4 linked regions of the Saccharomyces cerevisiae S288C genome follow. The protein of the gene in region 2 binds, or shares a complex with, the protein of the main gene of each other region. Each region holds a gene or a part of one and is shown on either strand. Other genes may lie near its edges. The genes, in order: MRPS16, MRPS9, MRPS5 and MRP51.

Region 1 (4,350 bases), on a different chromosome or scaffold from region 2:
CTTTGTTCACATTTCCGCTACTTTCTTCATTCATAGAATTCTTCAAAAGACCACATACGTTGTTGAAAGTTTTCTCCAAATCTTCCTTTGAAGTAATCTTTAAATATTGATCAATCGTTTCCAAAATATAACTCCTTGCATTTGGAGTGGTTTGAGTATAAACATTGAACAAAACTGCTAGAAGATTCGTTGATTTGGTTGAAAGGTATTCTATATTCTTTTGAGCTTCAGAAATGGGGAAACGTTGCAACAATAAAACGTTGTGAGAAGAGGACTCTTCGGCATATGAAACATTGCTTTCTGCCAAGACCTTTAAAGCATGACAAATTGTAGTTCTTAACTCAACCTCGCTGTATAATAAAGAAGATAGTTCTGAGGCAAATTCGTCAGTGAAGGATTCCCTCAAGTCCATTGGGAGTTCACAAAACCGTGGAAGTGTAGACCAGATTTGGTCAACAATAGTTTGAAAAACTCTCAATTGAATAGATTCTTCCGGGACTTTATCGAACTTAGATTGAAAACTTTTAATGTATGGTGCCAATTCGTTTTGAAAAGTTGCAAGGTTCGCATTTTTCGTATAATCTCTAATAAGCGGTAACAACCAAGCCCTGCCAGGTCTTTCGGAAGATGGATTGTCTAAATTCAGGGGTGCTTCTGCGAGTATCATTTCAGGGCCCATAGCAGAAATGGAGGCTCCGATTACTAATTCGATTTCATTTCTCAAATCCATAAACTGTTCTTCATTTACTCTCCATGTATCGACTATTTTCAGTGATTTTAAAAAGTGAGGATTAGATCTATATCTGAATTTGTTGAATGCTGCCACCAAAATCTTAAGAATTTCTCTGGAACAATGGGAATATCTAATGGATAAAAAGTCGATAAATGTTTTCGCAATTTGAGAGATGATTTCATCTACGTTTTTGAAAACTTTCTCATCCACACTTGGTGTATACAATAACAAATCATCTTTAACAGACTCAGAAAGGATTGAGATAAGACATTGAGAGGCAGCTTGGTACACTTCTGGAGTTTCACTAGCTAAATATGTGCACATAATGTGAAATACACCAGGAATTTTACGTAGCGCTTTCAGTGGTTGATGTGTTGCGTAAGTGGACATACCCTTAATGACCACAGCAATCCAGGACTTGGTTAATAATGTATCGACATTTGAGGGTTTTAATGCAAAAATGGTATCCAAGACTCTTAGGTACTTATTTTCAGCCAATCCAGAAGAAATGGTAGTTTCTGCCATTGTTTTGAACATGCTTTCAAAACATTCAAATGATGCAGAAACGAGATATTGCTCTGAGCTTTTGGTGACTCCCAATAGTACATCACAAAGAGGCTCAATCTGTGAAGATGGCCACTGTCCAGTAGAGACGACTGAAGTAATCAACCTTAGAGAGCGCATGACACTAGCGTTAATGTCTTCCTTTGTTTTCTGTGCTTTCAATTGTTTATTTGATAAATTCGAGAGATCATTTAAAATACCTGCTAACTGCTTGTCACAGAAATCTGCTACAAAAACTGCCGCTACATGCTCTGCAGTTGGTGCAACAGGAGGGTTTAATAAGACCGCATGAACTGCATCTAGCGCTCTCTTTCTAACTTTTGGTCTTACATCTAAAGAAAGTTCAAGTATACCCTGCAAACCTCTTTTTGGAGTGACGTTTAGATCATAAGTATTGTTCCAGGCTTGTGCATCTTGAGCAATAAGAAGAGATTCTAAACAACCAATAGCAGCTCTAATTAGAGGGGCATTAGCCTTTTCTGCAGTGATACATGGGGCAATTTTCGTTAGGATTTCAGAAAACTTCGATCTTAATAATACCTTAGGCGAATAATGAAATATCAGATCTAGAAGATATGTAGATGAGGAAGCCAATTGAATATCTTTTATTTCATGAGTAGATGGGTCTACTGCTTGATCCAATAGTGACATAAAGGAAATGATATAATTTACAATGTTTTTTGAAACATCATTTGTAGCTTGACCTGCAATATTTTCCTCAACGGCAGTTAATATTATAGCAATATGCTTTTGATTCTCCAATTTAGAGTTTACTTGGGAACGAATTTTAGCCAGCTTGTCCTCCAGCTCTAAAAGAAAAGCAACTTTGTCTTGATCCATGATGAACTCTGAGATTTGCTGATTCAATTCGCGAGATGCTGTTCAAAATCTAGAAATTACCTGGTTGAATTCAATCAGTAAAAAAATAAGTTGAACCTTTTCAAACTAAAACTCTTCTCTGAGAGAATTAACTGCGACCGAGGAAGTTCTAATTGCGCGATGAGATGAGATGATATAATTAAAATTTTAAACACTGCAGCGAAAAGAAAAATTTTCACTAATTATGATCATCTATCATTCAGGACGGAAAAAATGAAATAGTACACCAAGAACAGTTGTAAGAAAAAAGGAAGGGGAATATATACACGACTTAAGTAACGGAGGAGTTCTGACTGGTATTCCGTTAAGAAATTGTAATAGAGTTTATCAAGTATGACCTGTGGTCTAGTACGAATAAGGTTAGCTAGATTTGGAAGAAAAAATAGTCCGGTCTATAATATCGTAGTGGCTAATTCCCGTAAGGCGAGGGATGCTAAACCGATCGAGGTACTAGGAACCTACGTGCCGGTACCCAGCCCAGTGACCAAGAGAGAATTGAAGAGGGGCGTTGTACCTATTAAAGACGTGAAGCTTGATTTTGATAGAACAAAATATTGGATTGGTGTGGGAGCACAACCTAGCGAAACAGTTACTAAACTATTACGAAAGGCTGGTATATTAAATGATGCATGGGCCACTAGTAAGAACAGCAATGTGAATAGGAAAGTTGTATTTGAAAGAATGGAAACATTGGAGTGAAAAAGATCGGAAAAAAAAAAAAAAAGAAAAAGAAAGGAAAGCAAAGGAACGTGTTTTAATTGATGCGAGGTGTATATGTATATGTTGTATATATGTTTTACTTGGCGCTTTTATATCTATCAGACTTGTAAATAATACATCTATGGCCAACCAGAAAATGGAGAATGAGACTTGAAATGGAATAAATTAAATTCTTAATCGAATGTGAAGAAAAGAGAAAGTGTAATAGAATTTCATTAAGATAGTGTCATTATAGGTCATGTATTGTGTGCTCCTGACTGTTCGGCACTATTTACCTTTTAAGACGCAATAAATCTCTTTTTAGCTTCAATGATTCATTTGGTAAAATAGAGGATTCTTCAGTGGACACGTTTGCTGTAGGTAAACGAGTACTAGCTAAGGGGGACGATATGATATTGCTACGTTGTCTCGATAGCAGAGCTATGTTAAAATTAAATGCGGAATCTGTTGTAGGCGTTGGCGTGAGTAAAGAAAAGGCATTACTGTTGCTAACACTATTGTTAGAATTTGTGCGGGCTAAGATAGGTTGTGGTTGTAATTCTGAAATATACTGGGACGAGCCATTTCTATTCTTCATTGAGACGTTGGATCTTTGTAAGGAATACCAGTTCAACGTGTTGGTCAGGCTGGTAGTAGAGCTTACATTCGGATTCGAGTTTGTGTTTGATAAGGGGATTGGATCGGTAATATCTGCGTTAACAAACGGGGAGGGAACTCTAAGCATTTCAGAAAACTGTGGTGGGGGTGGTGGGGGTAAAGAAGTTAAAGAAGTGTTACGAGAAAGATAGCCGTCTTTTCTGACCTCTTGCAACAAGCGCTGTCTTACCAATGTTAAAAGCCAGCTATTTCTGTCACATCCGATATCCAATTGTTGAAGCTCAGATTGCTGTATAGCCGCTTTGGCAACTCTATTCAATATTCCTGAGGGAGGGTTTGTAGTATCAAACGGAGTTATCGTAGGATCGCTGCACGTGTTTTGGTAAACTTCTAATAGAAGGCCGACAAACTGCGGTGTGAACGAAGTGAATTGAGCGTTATTGTTGTAAAAGGTATGTTGTTTGAAATTCTGAGCGAAATCGGAAACGGAACTCGCCAGCGAAGAGGCGCTATTCTGTCTGGTTCTATTAGCATTGAGGTAAGGTGGAAAATACGAGGCATCCGAGCTTTTCGCCTGATTGGAGCTGCTATTATTTATAGGAGTCATTACCGGAGTGAAAACGGGAGTGGACAAGTTTCTGTCAAATGCAATCATGTCATCGTAATCACAATTTAACAACGGCTGAGGGTCCTGAGTTTGATGTTGAGCTTCTGGTTGGATGGGCAACGCGTCTTCGGGCTTGCAATTCTTGTCCTTATTTTCTTGAGATCGCCTAGAAGAGCCGGCGTGTAATCTCTTGTGCAATCTTTCCAGCAGCATTCTATATCCTATTAAACTGGTTCTAGTTCGCTTTACT
Region 2 (4,705 bases):
GAATAGTTGAATTTGTCCCCTTCCTGTCACTTTTTTTCCTCTATGGATAGAGACCCCACCCAGGAAATGGCATTACTCGTTTTTGTGTTATTTTTTGTGTATTTTTTCAGACGCGTGTCAGCAAAGGGCATCGCCAAAATAACGACTGAGCCGTGATGGCGCTAGTAATTTTGTTTCCTCCATAAAATGAAAATACTAGTTCTGGGCTATAGCCGATGCGCATATGAGTAAGTTTGAGTTTTAAGTGGAAAGATTAATAGAAGCCAACTAGTTAATTATCTATTAGTATTTTCTCGTATTTAGGTTTGGCGTAAAGGAAAAATTGAATAAAAACTGTGAAGTCCATCAACAGCGTACCAGCGCTACCGATAAGCCAAGATGCTGAGAGCACTGAGATTATGAAAGAAGTGTTCCCTAAGCATGCAAATAAAAAGAATAGGAATGAGACTCCTTCGCATGATTTTCTTTTGAAGTTAAGAACAATCTGAGGGATCCTAGAGCCCAAGTACAGTATCGCACTTAAATACCCTAAAATTTGTGCAGGTAAATTAATCTGTTCGAACGCAGGTTTTTTTTTAGGAATACCGTTATCTAGGCCGGAACAGTAAGATATATACCATGACAAAATTCCGGCAATAAGTACACCTGAAACAATTAAGAAGTCATTGAAAAAATTCTCTCTTTCCTTTACGACTATTGTTCTGCCAAGCTCAAGCGAGCTATACGATTGGCTATCTTCTTCTTCTATCCTTGGCAAAAGTGGCTCATATTCATTAAAAACGTCTTGTAAGACAGTCTCATTTATGGGGTTTGCTGGAGGCAAATGCACAGGATCAACATTTTTCTTGACTTCTTGTAAAATGCTCTTCTTCTCCTTGTCATACCACATGCACTGTATTAACAAAATTAAATCTGCCAATGTATAGTAAGCAGCTAAAATTATCATGGTTGGGAGTAAATTTTGCATCATAGCTCCCATGACGTTAAATATATCACCTAATAGCCACAACACAATGAAAAGCAGTGATAATCCCTCCGCAGACTGTCTTCGGAAGTTTTCATAAATCTGTGGTACAAACACAACAATCCAACAGCATATTGATATGGATCCAGCCATCCCACTGAGATTCTTAGCATTCAAAATAATTGGGATCAGCTTCATGGCAGAAATTTAGGGATGCTCGCTTGAGGCTATTACGTCTGGGTTATAACAAAATATTGTGGGATATTACAGGAGAATAGTTTATTTATATGCCTGAACCCGGTGTTATTTGTAGTATTTATGGTTTATATTATGACTCTTTTTACATGTAACGGTCATAGTAAAATCTATTCTGATTTGCATCTTATCATCTCCTTCTTTTTTCCAATGGAATTTGAGTCATTGCTGCAAGGCCCCTTTGCTTTGCGGGTGAGAGGAAAAAAAAGATGAAGTATTATGTGCAGTAAGTAGAAGAAAATACTAACTGAGCAATATTCGAATACATATAACTTTATTTACAGGAATAACGAACGAGAGTTGTGCTTCTAATGCTGGGCGGCGTTGTATGCAAAATATATAACGTTTCTTCTGGCATGTGTCAAAAAACTCAGAGCACGCACGCTTCCGTTCGAAATTGAGGTAACAAGATGCACTAAGACTATCTCTTGACCCATGTTGGCATCTTTCTTGCCTTCTTTTTTCCTGGCTTCTTTCTTTCGACGTGCCTGTAATCTCTTGTTAAGACGCCAGCTTTATGTAGTCTGGATTTTAATAATGGATTGAACACAACCAAAGCTTTCGCAATGGCGTGCATGATTGATTCAGCCTGACCCGTAGGTCCGCCTCCAGACGTTGTCGCAAAAATATTGTACTTTCCAACTGATTCGATCACTTGAAGTGGATACATGATTGATTCTCTGTCTTTCATCTTAAGGAAGTAATCATTCAATTGTCGACCATTAACTAATATCTCACCTGTACCTCTAACAACGAATACTTTCGCAGTGGAACTTTTCCTTTTTCCAACGGCTATACTTCTTCCAAACTCATCTAAAGTTTTGATTTTGATATTATTGGAAAGCATTGAACTTTTTTTATAATATTGGGATAGTTCGGATGTGATTTCATCATTAGTAAGTTGAGGATCAATGTTGTGAAGTTTATTCAACATATACAGTAGCTGAGTATATTGCGTAGGCTTTAATTTCGTACCACCGCCGATTAAAGCGTACTCATCGAAAGAAATCCAAGGAGCTTTTGTTTGTTGTGCTTCATTGTTGTTCTGAGATGGCAGTTTTATGTATTTCCTTAGAAGTCTTTCGAGTCGATTAATACGATCTTCATGGTTAGGATTCGCCGAATAAAATGTGGCTAGCTTTGGGACGATCCTTCTGGGCAATTCATCCTCGGTTTTTTGATAAATAGTCCTAAAAGACATTCTCATAGGGGCAGGAGCCAGAGCTGCCCTTCGAAACAAAGAAAGCCTTGAAAACATTCCGCTTGGCTCAAACTCTGTCCACAACGAGTAAATTTTAGCTAATCAATTTAACCAATTTCTACTCCTCCTGGTTTCAGTTTCCAGTCGACATTATTAAATTTCTTTTCCGTAAATGGCCTATTTCAGTTTGTCTTACGCACGCAGTTGCTAGTTTTAAATATATCATTTTATACGTAAAGTTCATCTATATATCACATTATATGTCTCGTAAAACAATGGATTACAAAGAATTAGATATTGAAACGTTTGTATAGGTTGTTCTTGTAAGGCAAAATACCAAATGTCCACCGGTTCTCGCAAAGTACAGAATCACTCGCTATTTACTGAAGTTCAGAAATGGAGTAATTCTCATTGTTACAAATAAATCGTAAAAAGTCAATATCTACAAAATAGCTTATATAAAAAGTAAAAATATATTCATCAAATTCGTTACAAAAGATCATTTAGAAGTCTCAACAACATATCTACCAACAATTTCACCCTTCTCCATCTTTGCAAAAATTTCAGGAACATCCGATAGGCCAGCTAAGTGGATCGGAGATTTGATCAAACCTCTGGCGAAGAAATCTAAAGCCTCCCTTGTATCAGCTCTATTTCCAACACAAGATCCAACGATGGAGATTGATTTTACAACTTGATTGAAAACATCGGAATTGCAGTAAGCATGAGCTGGCATACCAACCAGGACGACAGTACCATTGGGCCTACAATACCTCGTAGAAGCCTCGATAGCTGCTTCAGAAACAGACACATTAATAACTCCATGAGAACCGCCATTAGTGGCCTTTATTATAGCACCAACAATGTCTTTTTCTTCCGTGAAATCGATGAATATTTCTCCGCCTAATTGTTCAAATAACTTTCGCTTGGCATTACCACCATCGATACCAATGACCCTGTAACCCATAGCAAGGGCGTATTGGATTGCCAGAGAACCCAAGCCACCGCATGCACCGGATATAGTGACCCATTGGCCTGGTATCACATTGGCTCTTTTCAACGCCTTATAAACAGTGATACCTGCACACAAGATTGGGGCAACTTCAGCAAGATTGACGTTTGGTGGAATATGGGCAGCTTGAACGGCATCGGCAGTTGCGTATTCTTGAAAAGTACCATCATGTGTGAAGCCAGTACCATCCAAATAAGGACATTGAGATTCATTACCTACTTCACAATATTCACAGGACATGCAAGTCCCATTCAACCATTTTATACCTGCAAAATCACCGACTTTCCAGCCCTTAACGTTAGATCCCAACTTAACAACAACACCAGCACCTTCGTGACCACCGATTAATGGAAATTTCAATTGAAATGGCCAATCACCGTGCCACGCGTGCAAGTCACTATGACAAACACCAGAATATTTAACGTGGACTAAAATTTCGTTAGGCTTAGGTTCCGGAACTGTGACGTCTTTATATTCCAATTTTCCATCTGTCTCATAAAAGACAATAGCCTTTTGTTTTTCAGGAATGACTTGCGAAGGCATGATGCTTTGATTTTGTAGATATGTAGTTAAATAATTTTCTTAGGTATCTTCCAATCAGAGACATTGTGAGACAGTAAAGCAGTAGTTTGCGCTAGAAATATCTTGTAGTCCCTCTTTTATATTCGTAGTATGTTATATAGATTACAATCTAGACAATACGAAGGAACGATCCCGCGTCAGCAGATGTCACAATTTGATTATTTCATTGTCACATGCTTTTTGACTCATCCTTCCGCGAAAGGAGAACTTTTTACAATGCCGCCGGCTCTGTTAGCGTACCCTTCTACAAGCAGATAGCAGAACAAACACATGATATATTCAAAAGGTGCAATGTCAGAGAACATATATTGCGCCCCTGTCCTGTAGACATCAGTCATTTTTCGCGGGACTTGAATGGCGCACCATTATCCTATACAGAAAACATTAAATTTACTGCAAAATTTTGGGCAAACGCTTGGATAGACTATGAATCCGTCATGAAGACACTACTTGTAAAATTATATATATCCTTTTTTTTCATGTGCTAGTAAGAATTAGCAACTACTTTCATTCATCTTCGACGCAACTTCGAGGAAAGCACCTTTTTACTTGCTGTAGCTCTATTCTCTTCCCCAACCACCTTTTCCTTTATTCCAAAATTTTTAAAACTTTTTCTGTTACATTATATAATCTTCTGTCTGAAATGTTTGGATATAACGCCTCTTGATCCACTTTGTATATGCGTGCTATT
Region 3 (5,047 bases), 190 kb from region 2:
CGACAATTTTTTCCAGAATCAATTGGGCTACGCGATCACCTTTTTTGATCGCGAAATCCCTCTGTGAATGATTGAATAAAACTACTTTAACTTCACCGGTGTAATCTCTGTCGACAACACCAGCACCGGTTTGGATACCGTTTTTCACTGCCAGGCCTGACCTTGGCGCAATACGACCGTAGGTACCAACAGGTACGGTGAACGATATGTCGGTGGAAACCATACCTTGACCCATAGCCGGAATGGTAATATCCTGAGATGCATAAATGTCGTATCCCGCGGCAGTGGCAGAACCTTTGGTAGGTACAGTAGCGCTTGCTGAGCGCAATTGAATCTTTAGTACTTTGTCGCTAGTAGCAGTCATTTGGTTATTTTTTGGCTCGCTGTATCAGTGCAAACATCTCATTCGAGAACTTAGTTGTTTCTACTTATTAAATGGTAGCGCGTAATATTTTTCCTTTTATAATTTTCAATGGTAGTAAATCAGAAATTATGGAAAAAAAATAAAACTTGGACAGAAAAAAATATTGCTATGAAGAAAAATTGAATATGCTTATCAGCTCATTTGATTGAGTATGTTGAGATATTTACAGGTATTATTATTGCTGTATTTACTTATGTAAAACGAGAGATAATGGTGCGTGTGTATGTACATAGTATTTCAGCTTGAATAGTAAACTTTCCTGACATCAACAAGCTTTTTGCCTCTACCCAGGGCAACCTCATCCAATGTCTTTTGAGCTTTCGTGAAAGCCTCGATGGTACCTTTAGCTATATTCATATCGTTTCTGGATTTATATACTTTCCCACTCAGATCTTTGATACCTGCACATTCACAAATCTCAAAGATTACATGGTTTACACGTAATCCAAACCCTGGTTTTGCACTTCTTAAATGTAGTTTCACACCATGATACCTAAAATCTATATCACCATAAATAGTTCTGTTTTCATACCTAGGTATTTCCTTCAGGTTCCTTACCGCATCCCAATGAGCTTTAAAGATCGCTTTGGACATTTCTTCACGAGATTTACCTTCTCCCAAACCTACCATACCGTTTTTGTCACCAACGACAACCAAGGCATAGAAAGACGCAATTTTACCCTTCCCAGTCTGATTTGACACTCTTTTCATCACCAGCGGCTTCATAGTCAACTTTCTAGTGATATAATCCGGATCTACACCGGTTTGCTTGTGTAGCCCTGCAGCTACATCGGCGCTTTTCGATTTCCGACCACCATCGTTTGGTAAGCTGACTCCTGGAGGCAGAATGTTACCTTCGCCTGGTAATGGTTGTTGTACCTGGTCCCATCTAAAGATGCTGAAGTTATTATTCTCCTCTTGAGCGTGGAGATGGGGCATGCCTGGTTTGTAATCCCAAAAAGGATGTATTTTGGTAAAATCATCCAAATATGGTGGTGCGAATTCCACGTTACGAGATACTCTGAATTTAGTATCTTCTGGTATCGTTTGTTGAGCAAGTTTTATGGATTTTAAAAGACTTTCAGGATAGTACCTTGATAATAGCGACTCATCATAATGCTGTAGATAACGAACACTAGTCGATAATTGCCTCTTGAACATCTTTACCTATTGATCTATGAAATCTGTTTCTTGTATGGTTTACCGTCTACTTTGACAACAATAACGATAGGTCTTTTAGTGGTGCTTGTATTATTGTCTTGTCAATTCGTCTTTTTTTTTTTTTCACTTTAAGGAACTTTACTCCGCGAATAAAAGAAAGCATCACCATGTAATGAAATATATGGGATACATAAATGTATGGGATACATACGACTGTTACTTGCTACCTCATTTGGAGATCACTAGCTCAGTTGTAAAACTTTTCCATTTGATTGAATAAACTCTAACCTTTTTCATACTGGTAGTAAAAGTCAAACCTACGAAAGTTCACATAATAAGGCCTTCACGCCAAGAGAGTCTAGTGTAGTGTTCTTCAGCTCCTATTGATATACTTTTAGTGCCCAAACACGGGATGTTTCAAGTAATTTTTCCTTCTCTAATTTGACAAGGGAAAATATGGCTAGTAATTCTTGTAAAAATGTCTTCTCCTCAGAGTGGGCGGTGCTTATGTATTAGAACCGGTCGAAATATCATAATATACACCGGCCAGTAGAGAACGGACATGGCGACTTGATACATAAAATGTCTATCTCGGAAGCTGATCAACTTGTGAAGTAGTATTATAGATATCAGCGTGCAAGATACTTACAAAAAGAGAGACCTGTAAATTTATTGTTACGTAAATACATAGTAGAATAAGAAACTAATAAAAAATAGTATATGTATATCATGCAAATAAAAAAAAAAAGGATAAAATAGAGGCGTTGTTCTGAGGTACCGAACATTCATAAGCTATTCTCACCTGCTACCATAGAATATAGTGGGGGTTCATCTTGTAGATCACTAATATTTTCAAATTTTTCATATTTGGGTAACAAAGAGCTGGTCGAAATATCACTATCGCCAACTAAAATTGGAAAATTCACCGTAATACGATAATTTTTTTTCATTTCAAGCCCTTCCACCAATTCATTCCTGCTATAGGTTATTCTGAACAAAAGCAAATGAGTTACTTTGAGGGCAGCATGATTGGGATAAAATGAACTTGGTTCACAGTAGAATGTTTTAAACCAGCTCGGTAGACCATCCGCATAGGTTGGGATGACAACGTCATCAAAGCAAAATCCGAAAATGGTCTTGTCGGAATCGAAACTTTGGCTTTCTACAGTTCTTAGTAAATACTCGGACTTTTTAATGTATGGCTCTCGTAGTATTTTCTTGGTCTTCAAATCAATACTTGGTATTGCCATTCTCTGTGCAACTGCCAAAGAAGCTTCCTGTAATTCAATGGAAGAATCTGTTTTGGTAATTGATAATATCATTTGGAAAGGCATACCAATTTCAATCAACTTGGAGTTTCCAATGACCGATACTACGATCTCACTTGCAGTATTGTATGACCTTAATTGAAATGTTTCAAACTTAAGCATACTCGTTGAAGGCAGGACTCTTTTAACTTTAATTTCTTCTGTTAAAATGATCTTATCTGTAAAACTTTCATTCTTCAAAAATTTGAGTAAGTTTTTAGGTTTACTTGGTATTCTCATTATTGTTGTTAAGCTTTCTATTCGAAAATGGGTCTTGCCAAAGAAGGAAGAGAAACTTGCTGGGAAAGTATTTGCTTGAAGGGTAAAAGTGAATGGGTAATCGTACGTGCCCTTTGTCAATAGAATTTTCTTATCATTTAATGAGTGGTGTATGACTCTCAACTGCTGTTTGGGGTAGGTGGAAGACTCAAAAAACTCTGTGTGATTAAGTTCTTTGATAATTTTGTCACTATAGGAGTTTTTGCTAGTTTCTGAATTTACAAAGCATGCATATTCCTTTGTGAAACATTTTAAAGAAATTGAATGGGAAGTGATTAAGAGGGCCTGGTCTTCTCTATCAATGTTTATCCTAATCTTTCCTTTGATTTGTAGAGGAGTGGCTCTTTCTCTTTCAACATTTGTAGATATATTATCCAGTGAGGAATCGTAATACAACGGATAGTCAGCATTCAATTGTAAATCGGAGAACATTAGTGTTTTGTACTTGTTATCTAGATACAATTCAATGCTGTAACCACATTTTTTATCTACAGATGATGTTACATAGGGATTTTCGTACAGCCGTAGTGAATCATAGCAATACTCAAGGTCTTCCTTAGCCTTCTTGATTGTAGTGCCACCATTTTTTAATTTCTTGAGTTGAATTAATTTTTTTGGTAGTTCACCACTGAAATCTTCATTACCAAAATGCTGCCTTATCTCGCTTTGTGTGGAACTTTCAGTCAGAGTAGTGGATCTACTAGATATATTTTCCGAGAACACTTGTGAAACCTCGGAATTAAGTGAAGAAGATGAAGACGAAAACAACATTAGTCAAACAAAAAAGGGAAATTCTATTTGTCTGATTTTGTTGCAAGATAACAATACTGGCAAACATGGGCTTGAGTGCTTAGGAAGAAATCTTGAGGTAGCAGTAACTTCTTTTTATTAAACAGTATGCAGCCGCCCAAAAAACTGCGATGTCGCCATTAGTTATTTTGTGACACAAAAACAAAATCGAAAACAAAAGAAATAGAAAGAAAAAGAAAAAAACAAAGGCTAAACAAGATTCCATTGTGCAGATTTAATGTTTACAATATAATTACATTCGCTCTTTTTGACCCCAGCTGCACAACCCACATAATTCGCATAAAACAATAACAATTGGCCTAACATAGATGCCAAACACACTTCTGACATAACTGAATGCTAGGGTAAAACTCCACACAGGTTTTTGAACACGAACTGCCAGTATACAGCTAGCCTTGAAAGTGATGGAAAACATTGTCATCGGCACATAAATAAAAAAATTATGAATCACGTGATCAACAGCAAATTATGTACTCGTATATATGCAAGCGCATTCCTTATATTGACACTCTTTCATTGGGCATGAGGCTGTGTAAACATAAGCTGTAACGGTCTCACGGAACACTGTGTAGTTGCATTACTGTCAGGCAGTTATGTTGCTTAATATAAAGGCAAAGGCATGGCAGAATCACTTTAAAACGTGGCCCCACCCGCTGCACCCTGTGCATTTTGTACGTTACTGCGAAATGACTCAACGATGAAATGAAAAAATTTTGCTTGAAATTTTGAAAAAAAGATGTGCGGGACGCATTGTTAGCTCATTGAATACATCGTGATCGAATCCAATCAATGTTTAATTTCATATTAATACAGAAACTTTTTCTCATACTTTCTTCTTCTTTTCATTGGTATATTATCTATATATCGTGTTAATTCCTCTTTCGTCATTTTTAGCATCGTTATAAGAGTAATTAAGAATAACTAGAAGAGTCTCTCTTTATATTCGTTTATTTTATATATTTAACCGCTAAATTTAGTAAACAAAAGAATCTATCAGAAATGAGTGAATCTCCAATGTTCGCTGCCAACGGCATGCCAAAGGTAAATCAAGGTGCTGAAGAAGATG
Region 4 (5,187 bases), on a different chromosome or scaffold from region 2:
TTCCAAATTGCAAAATTCAAGATTTAATTATAAAAACTCTGAAGTAATAGACCACCTATTTCAAAAATATTCCGTATTTTTCCCTCTCTATAAAAACAAAGGGCTTCCAAAATATCCATTCCAATAAACGGTAAACTCACCCATTTATGATTGGGACAAGAGCAAAAAAAAAGGAAATTGGGAAAAAAAAAGAGAAAGAAAGCAACAGAATAAAGGGAACTTGATAAAACTGAAGTACCGTGGGTCAAGTAGCGTGAAAGAGTCAATTCATCGACTAATGGATGCATAAAACGTATGACTGTATAGTACTGGAGTGAAAACGAAGAGATAAAGAAAGGAAAAAGGGAGATTAATAAAAAGAAAAAAATTAAAGGAGTTCTATATTTGGATTAGTCTTTTATTCTTTCTGCTTACCACCATGAAGCGTTGCTATTTCCGTAACCGTTTTTCTCATTATCATTTCTAAACCCACCTCCAATCGAACCCCAATTTGATGTTCCAGTATTCCTTGGCCTCGTGCTCCCAAATGAGCCATTTCCACCATGTTTACGGTAGTCTCTTGAACCGTTATTACGACTATTGAAAAAACCTCCTCCTCCCCTAGTTCTTCCACCTCTTGAATTCTGTCTTGACAGGTCACTTAAAAACGTGGGAACTTCTTGATTCGCTTCATTTAAAATTTCCATCAAACCCTTCACAATATTCTGATTATTACTATTGAAGAATGAAGTAGCCACGCCTGTGTTACCAGCACGGCCTGTTCTACCAATTCTGTGAACGTAGTCATCGATGTCGGAGGGCAAATCATAATTAATGACATGTGTGACATTCGGTATATCCAAACCTCTCGCTGCTACAGCTGTTGCGACCAGGATATCAGCTACGTTAGCTTTGAAAGCAGATAAGGCACGTTCACGTTCAGCCTGTGTGCGGTCACCATGTATGGCTGTAGCTTTGAAATTTTGCATGATCAAAAAATCTGTGAGTTGATCCGCCATTCTTTTCGTTTCAACAAAAATCAATGTCAATCCCTTATGCTCTGCAGACAGTAAATCTAACAACGCAGACTTTTTGTCCATGTCATCGACATATAATATTCTTTGCGTGATATTTTCTGAGGTGGAACCGACTCTTCCTACTGATAAAAAAATATAATTATCTAAGAAATCGCGTGCCAAATGCTGGATATCTACTGGGAATGTGGCGGAAAACATCAAGGTCTGTCTATTTTCCACAGAGGGCATATCACATTCTTCAACTATATGGCGAATTTGGGGTTCGAATCCCATATCTAGCATTCTATCAGCCTCATCCAATACCAGGTATTTGATATTAGCCAAAGAAACTTTTCCGCGTTCTAATAAGTCATTCAGCCGCCCTGGTGTAGCCACCAATAAGTCACAGCCGCGGTCAACCTCCCTCATCTGGTTACCGATTGGCGCGCCACCATAAACAACGCATGGCCTAACCCAAGATCTATACGTAAATTTTCTTGCTTCTTCAAAAATTTGGGTAGCCAATTCTCTAGTTGGTGCAAGTACTAAAGCAGATGGATATCCCTTTCTAGAATAAAAGCTCTGTGCTTTCTCGGGTACTGGAGAGGGCCCAGACCTGAATAGCTCCGTGAAGAGCGGAAACAAAAACCCACCTGTCTTACCTGAGCCCGTTTGTGCGCATGCCATCAAATCCCTACCTTTGGTAACTATTGGAATAGAATATTTTTGTACTGGAGTAGGTTTGGTGAAACTAGCAAGTTTGATATTTTCCATTAACAGCTCATCCAGAGGGGGAGAACTAAAATCTAGTATAGGTTCAGGAACATCTTTTCCAGATGCATCTACGGGAATATTATCGTAATTATCAAACTTTATACCAGATGAATGGTAATCGGGATCGTCGTGTACACCAAACAGTTCGGCTTCTAATTTCGCGTTCTTAGGCCCCGGTATATGCTTGCCATTTACCCATCTATTTCCAGATGATTTGTAATTTGAGCTGCCTCCGCGGTTATAGTTCGCACTCGTCCCTCCATTTCTTTCCTTAGAAAAGCCAAAAAACCCGCCATTGTTCCCAGTTTGCCTTCCAGCACGTCTGAAAAAATCACCACCCGTAACCTTATCTTCCTGTTTTGGGGTACTTCTTTCGAATGATGGTTTTCCTCTACTTCTCAAGTGCGGTGGGACATAAGATGATTTGCCGCCACCACCACCATTCTCTTTGTTGTTGATGCTTAAATTAGATACCTTCTGTGGCAAGTCTGCCATTTTTTCTTGTAATACTTTCACTCAAAGGGGTTTTTCTTAAAATATCCTTTAACTGACACTACCGATATCTTTTATAATCATGAATAATCCTTGTTATAAAATAAAGGCATTACTTCAGAGATGACCTTAAGTAACCTTCCCTTAAAATTGTTAAAGAACTCGCGGGGTAATATTTACGTTGACAGTGATATTTGTTTTGAGAAATCAAAGAATGAAGAACTTAGATGTAGAGTTAAAGGAGCAATACGAATAGGTGCCGTGATGAAGAAAAAAAATCATACAGACATTTGCTACAACCCTTGGTGAGACTGTTTCGATCATTTTTCTTTTTCTTTTTCTTTATTTTAGAAAAAATTGAACGAAATGACATTGGCAGAGTTGCTTGGACGGTCGAGAATAGCTCAAGTAGCTAACAATCATAAACCATTGACATACACTGGCAAAAAATTTCATCCAACACATCAAATCATCGAAACTAAGCCATCGACACTATACAGACAAGAATGGGGGTTGAAATCCGCTATTCCTTCGAAAATTAAATCTCGATATTTGGTGTACAACGATTTGGATACGTTGGAAAGAATTACCACATTCGAACCTAGAGGCGGTACGCAATGGAATAGGCTAAGATTTCAAGAAATGGGAGTACCAATTGTGTCTAATATAGGCAGACAAAATCCATTTTTCAAGTACATATCTCGTCCTGAGGATGAGTCTCATGCTAAATTGTCCTTATTCAAAGAAATGAAAGGAGATACAGATATTTCGCCTGCTGCTATGAAGAAGCGTTTGAAGAAGATAACAGCACTAATTAGATCGTTTCAAGATGAATTTAAAGAGTGGCTGGTGGAAAATCATCCGGATGAATTGAAATTGAATTCTAATAAGCTGGAAGACTATGTAGTGAAGTTTCTAAACAAAAAGTTGGAAACAAAAACGAATAAAAAATTTAACACTGAAATCATTGGTACAGGTGGATTATCATACAGCTTGCCAGGAAAGCTAAAAAACTCACCAAATGGTGTCATTCAAAGGACTGTAGTACCCGGTAGAATCTTGAACGTTGTTAAGGAGAACAACGACAATAAATGGCTGGCAGCTATTGGTGGGTTTGTGGCCGATGTGGTATTTTTCCAATCACCACCTAGTTCCTTTAACTCCATGGGAGATTTCATCAGAATGAAAACGTTCTTGTTCGAGATCTTGGAGGCATCTATGGAGAAAAATGGTTCTGTTTCGATGCACGCTAGATTACTCGAACCACAAAATGACAAGACCAGAGAATTTTTCAATAAGAGACCAATTTATAAACCATTGACCTCTAGAAGGGCACGTCGACCATCAGTGGGAAACATTCAAGAGGCCAATAACCTTTTGAATATAATCAAGGGAAATTGAGAAGAGAAAAAAAAAATGTGAACAATCAATGTATATTCAGAGTTCTGTAAATAAATAAAGAAAATAAAGTTTACATATTACTAAGGATTTTTGTCGCCTATTTTTACTATTTTTCAGGTGAAATGAAACGTTTTATATCACATTTTGCTATGATAACAAAGTTATTATGATTTTTATGTAGCCTATATTATTGACGCGTTGTTATAGCATTCTATGAATTTGCCTGTCATTTTCCACTTCAGAAAGGTCATCTAATTGCTCCCACCAGTTGAATAAGTAATTCTCGCAAATAATCTTAAACCAAGGCGTAAACTTGTAACTTGGGTCAGCAAACATAGTTTTCAAATCATTTGGTGAAACCCATTTGAAGTCTCTAACTTCATTGACGTTTGGGTTGACAGTCAAGTTTTCTTTAGCGTTGATCTTATAAAATAGGATGTAATCAATTTCATGTTCACCCCATGGTTCATTGCTTGGTGCCATGTAATGGATTCTGTTTAAAAAGTGAAACTTACCCCTTGTCTTAGTTTCATCTTCTGGAATACCTAATTCATGATCTAGTTTTCTCACCGCCGCAGTAATAGCGCCCTTAATCTTATCGTCTAGCTTACCCTTCAAACCTAATTCGTCATCAATACATAGTGGATGAGAGCAGCATGTGTTAGTCCAAAGATCAGGGAAAGTTATTTTTTCAGTGGCTCTTTGTTGTAAAAGTAATTCACCTTGTTCATTGAAAATAAAGACGGAGAATGCACGATGTAGTAAACCCTTTTCAATATTTTCCATTAAATGACAAACTTTCTTGGTACCGGCACCAATAGCATTATCGTCCCAATCCAAAACAATACAATTTTCATTCATTAACTTAATTTGCTCCTCATCATGACCAGAAAAACATGTTTCTCCGCTTTCGTCATTTGACGTCTCACTAGATCGGGTATTAGGTCTTTGTTGTAATGGAATAATTTCAGGAAACTCTTCCAAAATGTCTTCAGGTGTTTGGTTTTGCACTAATTTGGCGTAACTAGATACTGCACCATGGGGCATACTATTGTTGTCGGCAGTCATTGAGGTGTAATGAATTTTTGGCTTATTTTTACTCTTCCTGTATTCCAAATACGAATACTCTAATATTGAATTAAGTGGGATATACGCCTTCTTGTCACTAGAAAACTGTTTCCTGTTAAATAGATAAAAATGAATAAATAAATATAAATGGAGTTAAGACCGAAAAAGAAAGGCAACCCCCATCGACAAGAAAAGAGTTATGAATAATCATGTTTCTTAATAACAATTAAAGGGAAAAGAATCGGCTGGGCATCGTCATTGCGAAACTGTTGACTGGAAAAATTTCAATCACAATTAAGTTTTGTCCATTTCGTTCCAGCAAGAACGGAAACTTTTACCGATAGCAGCGGAAAAAAAGAAAAAAGAAAAAAAAAAGAAATTAATATAGGCAAAATAGCCGCATGAAGCCCTTAATAACCTATACTATTCTGTGACTGTTATTTATTTACCCTCGTAA

What was found.
Region 1: MRPS9 (region 2) and MRPS16 share a complex: the UniProt entries of both Saccharomyces cerevisiae proteins name them as parts of the mitochondrial small ribosomal subunit.
Region 3: MRPS9 (region 2) and MRPS5 share a complex: the UniProt entries of both Saccharomyces cerevisiae proteins name them as parts of the mitochondrial small ribosomal subunit.
Region 4: MRPS9 (region 2) and MRP51 share a complex: the UniProt entries of both Saccharomyces cerevisiae proteins name them as parts of the mitochondrial small ribosomal subunit.

What each region holds. Positions count from the first base shown.
Region 1 is NC_001148.4:527,510-531,859, reverse strand, and holds MRPS16 (mitochondrial 37S ribosomal protein bS16m MRPS16), read left to right. Parts: upstream 1-2,509; coding exon 2,510-2,875; downstream 2,876-4,350. Other genes in the region: mRNA-binding protein RRP12, read right to left, coding at 1-2,137; CIP1 (Cip1p), read right to left, coding at 3,168-4,313. UniProt on the Saccharomyces cerevisiae protein: Component of the mitochondrial ribosome (mitoribosome), a dedicated translation machinery responsible for the synthesis of mitochondrial genome-encoded proteins, including at least some of the essential transmembrane subunits of the mitochondrial respiratory chain.
Region 2 is NC_001134.8:533,032-537,736, reverse strand, and holds MRPS9 (mitochondrial 37S ribosomal protein uS9m MRPS9), read right to left. Parts: upstream 2,478-4,705; coding exon 1,641-2,477; downstream 1-1,640. Other genes in the region: RTC2 (cationic amino acid transporter), read right to left, coding at 272-1,162; alcohol dehydrogenase ADH5, read right to left, coding at 2,920-3,975; YBR144C (uncharacterized protein), read left to right, coding at 4,188-4,502. UniProt on the Saccharomyces cerevisiae protein: Component of the mitochondrial ribosome (mitoribosome), a dedicated translation machinery responsible for the synthesis of mitochondrial genome-encoded proteins, including at least some of the essential transmembrane subunits of the mitochondrial respiratory chain.
Region 3 is NC_001134.8:717,928-722,974, reverse strand, and holds MRPS5 (mitochondrial 37S ribosomal protein uS5m MRPS5), read right to left. Parts: upstream 1,586-5,047; coding exon 662-1,585; downstream 1-661. Other genes in the region: DUT1 (bifunctional dITP/dUTP diphosphatase), read right to left, coding at 1-364; SPO23 (Spo23p), read right to left, coding at 2,371-3,942; 3-deoxy-7-phosphoheptulonate synthase ARO4, read left to right, coding at 4,981-5,047. UniProt on the Saccharomyces cerevisiae protein: Component of the mitochondrial ribosome (mitoribosome), a dedicated translation machinery responsible for the synthesis of mitochondrial genome-encoded proteins, including at least some of the essential transmembrane subunits of the mitochondrial respiratory chain.
Region 4 is NC_001148.4:324,001-329,187, forward strand, and holds MRP51 (mitochondrial 37S ribosomal protein bS1m MRP51), read left to right. Parts: upstream 1-2,627; coding exon 2,628-3,662; downstream 3,663-5,187. Other genes in the region: YPL119C-A (uncharacterized protein), read right to left, coding at 24-287; putative DEAD-box ATP-dependent RNA helicase DBP1, read right to left, coding at 411-2,264; isopentenyl-diphosphate delta-isomerase IDI1, read right to left, coding at 3,864-4,730. UniProt on the Saccharomyces cerevisiae protein: Component of the mitochondrial ribosome (mitoribosome), a dedicated translation machinery responsible for the synthesis of mitochondrial genome-encoded proteins, including at least some of the essential transmembrane subunits of the mitochondrial respiratory chain.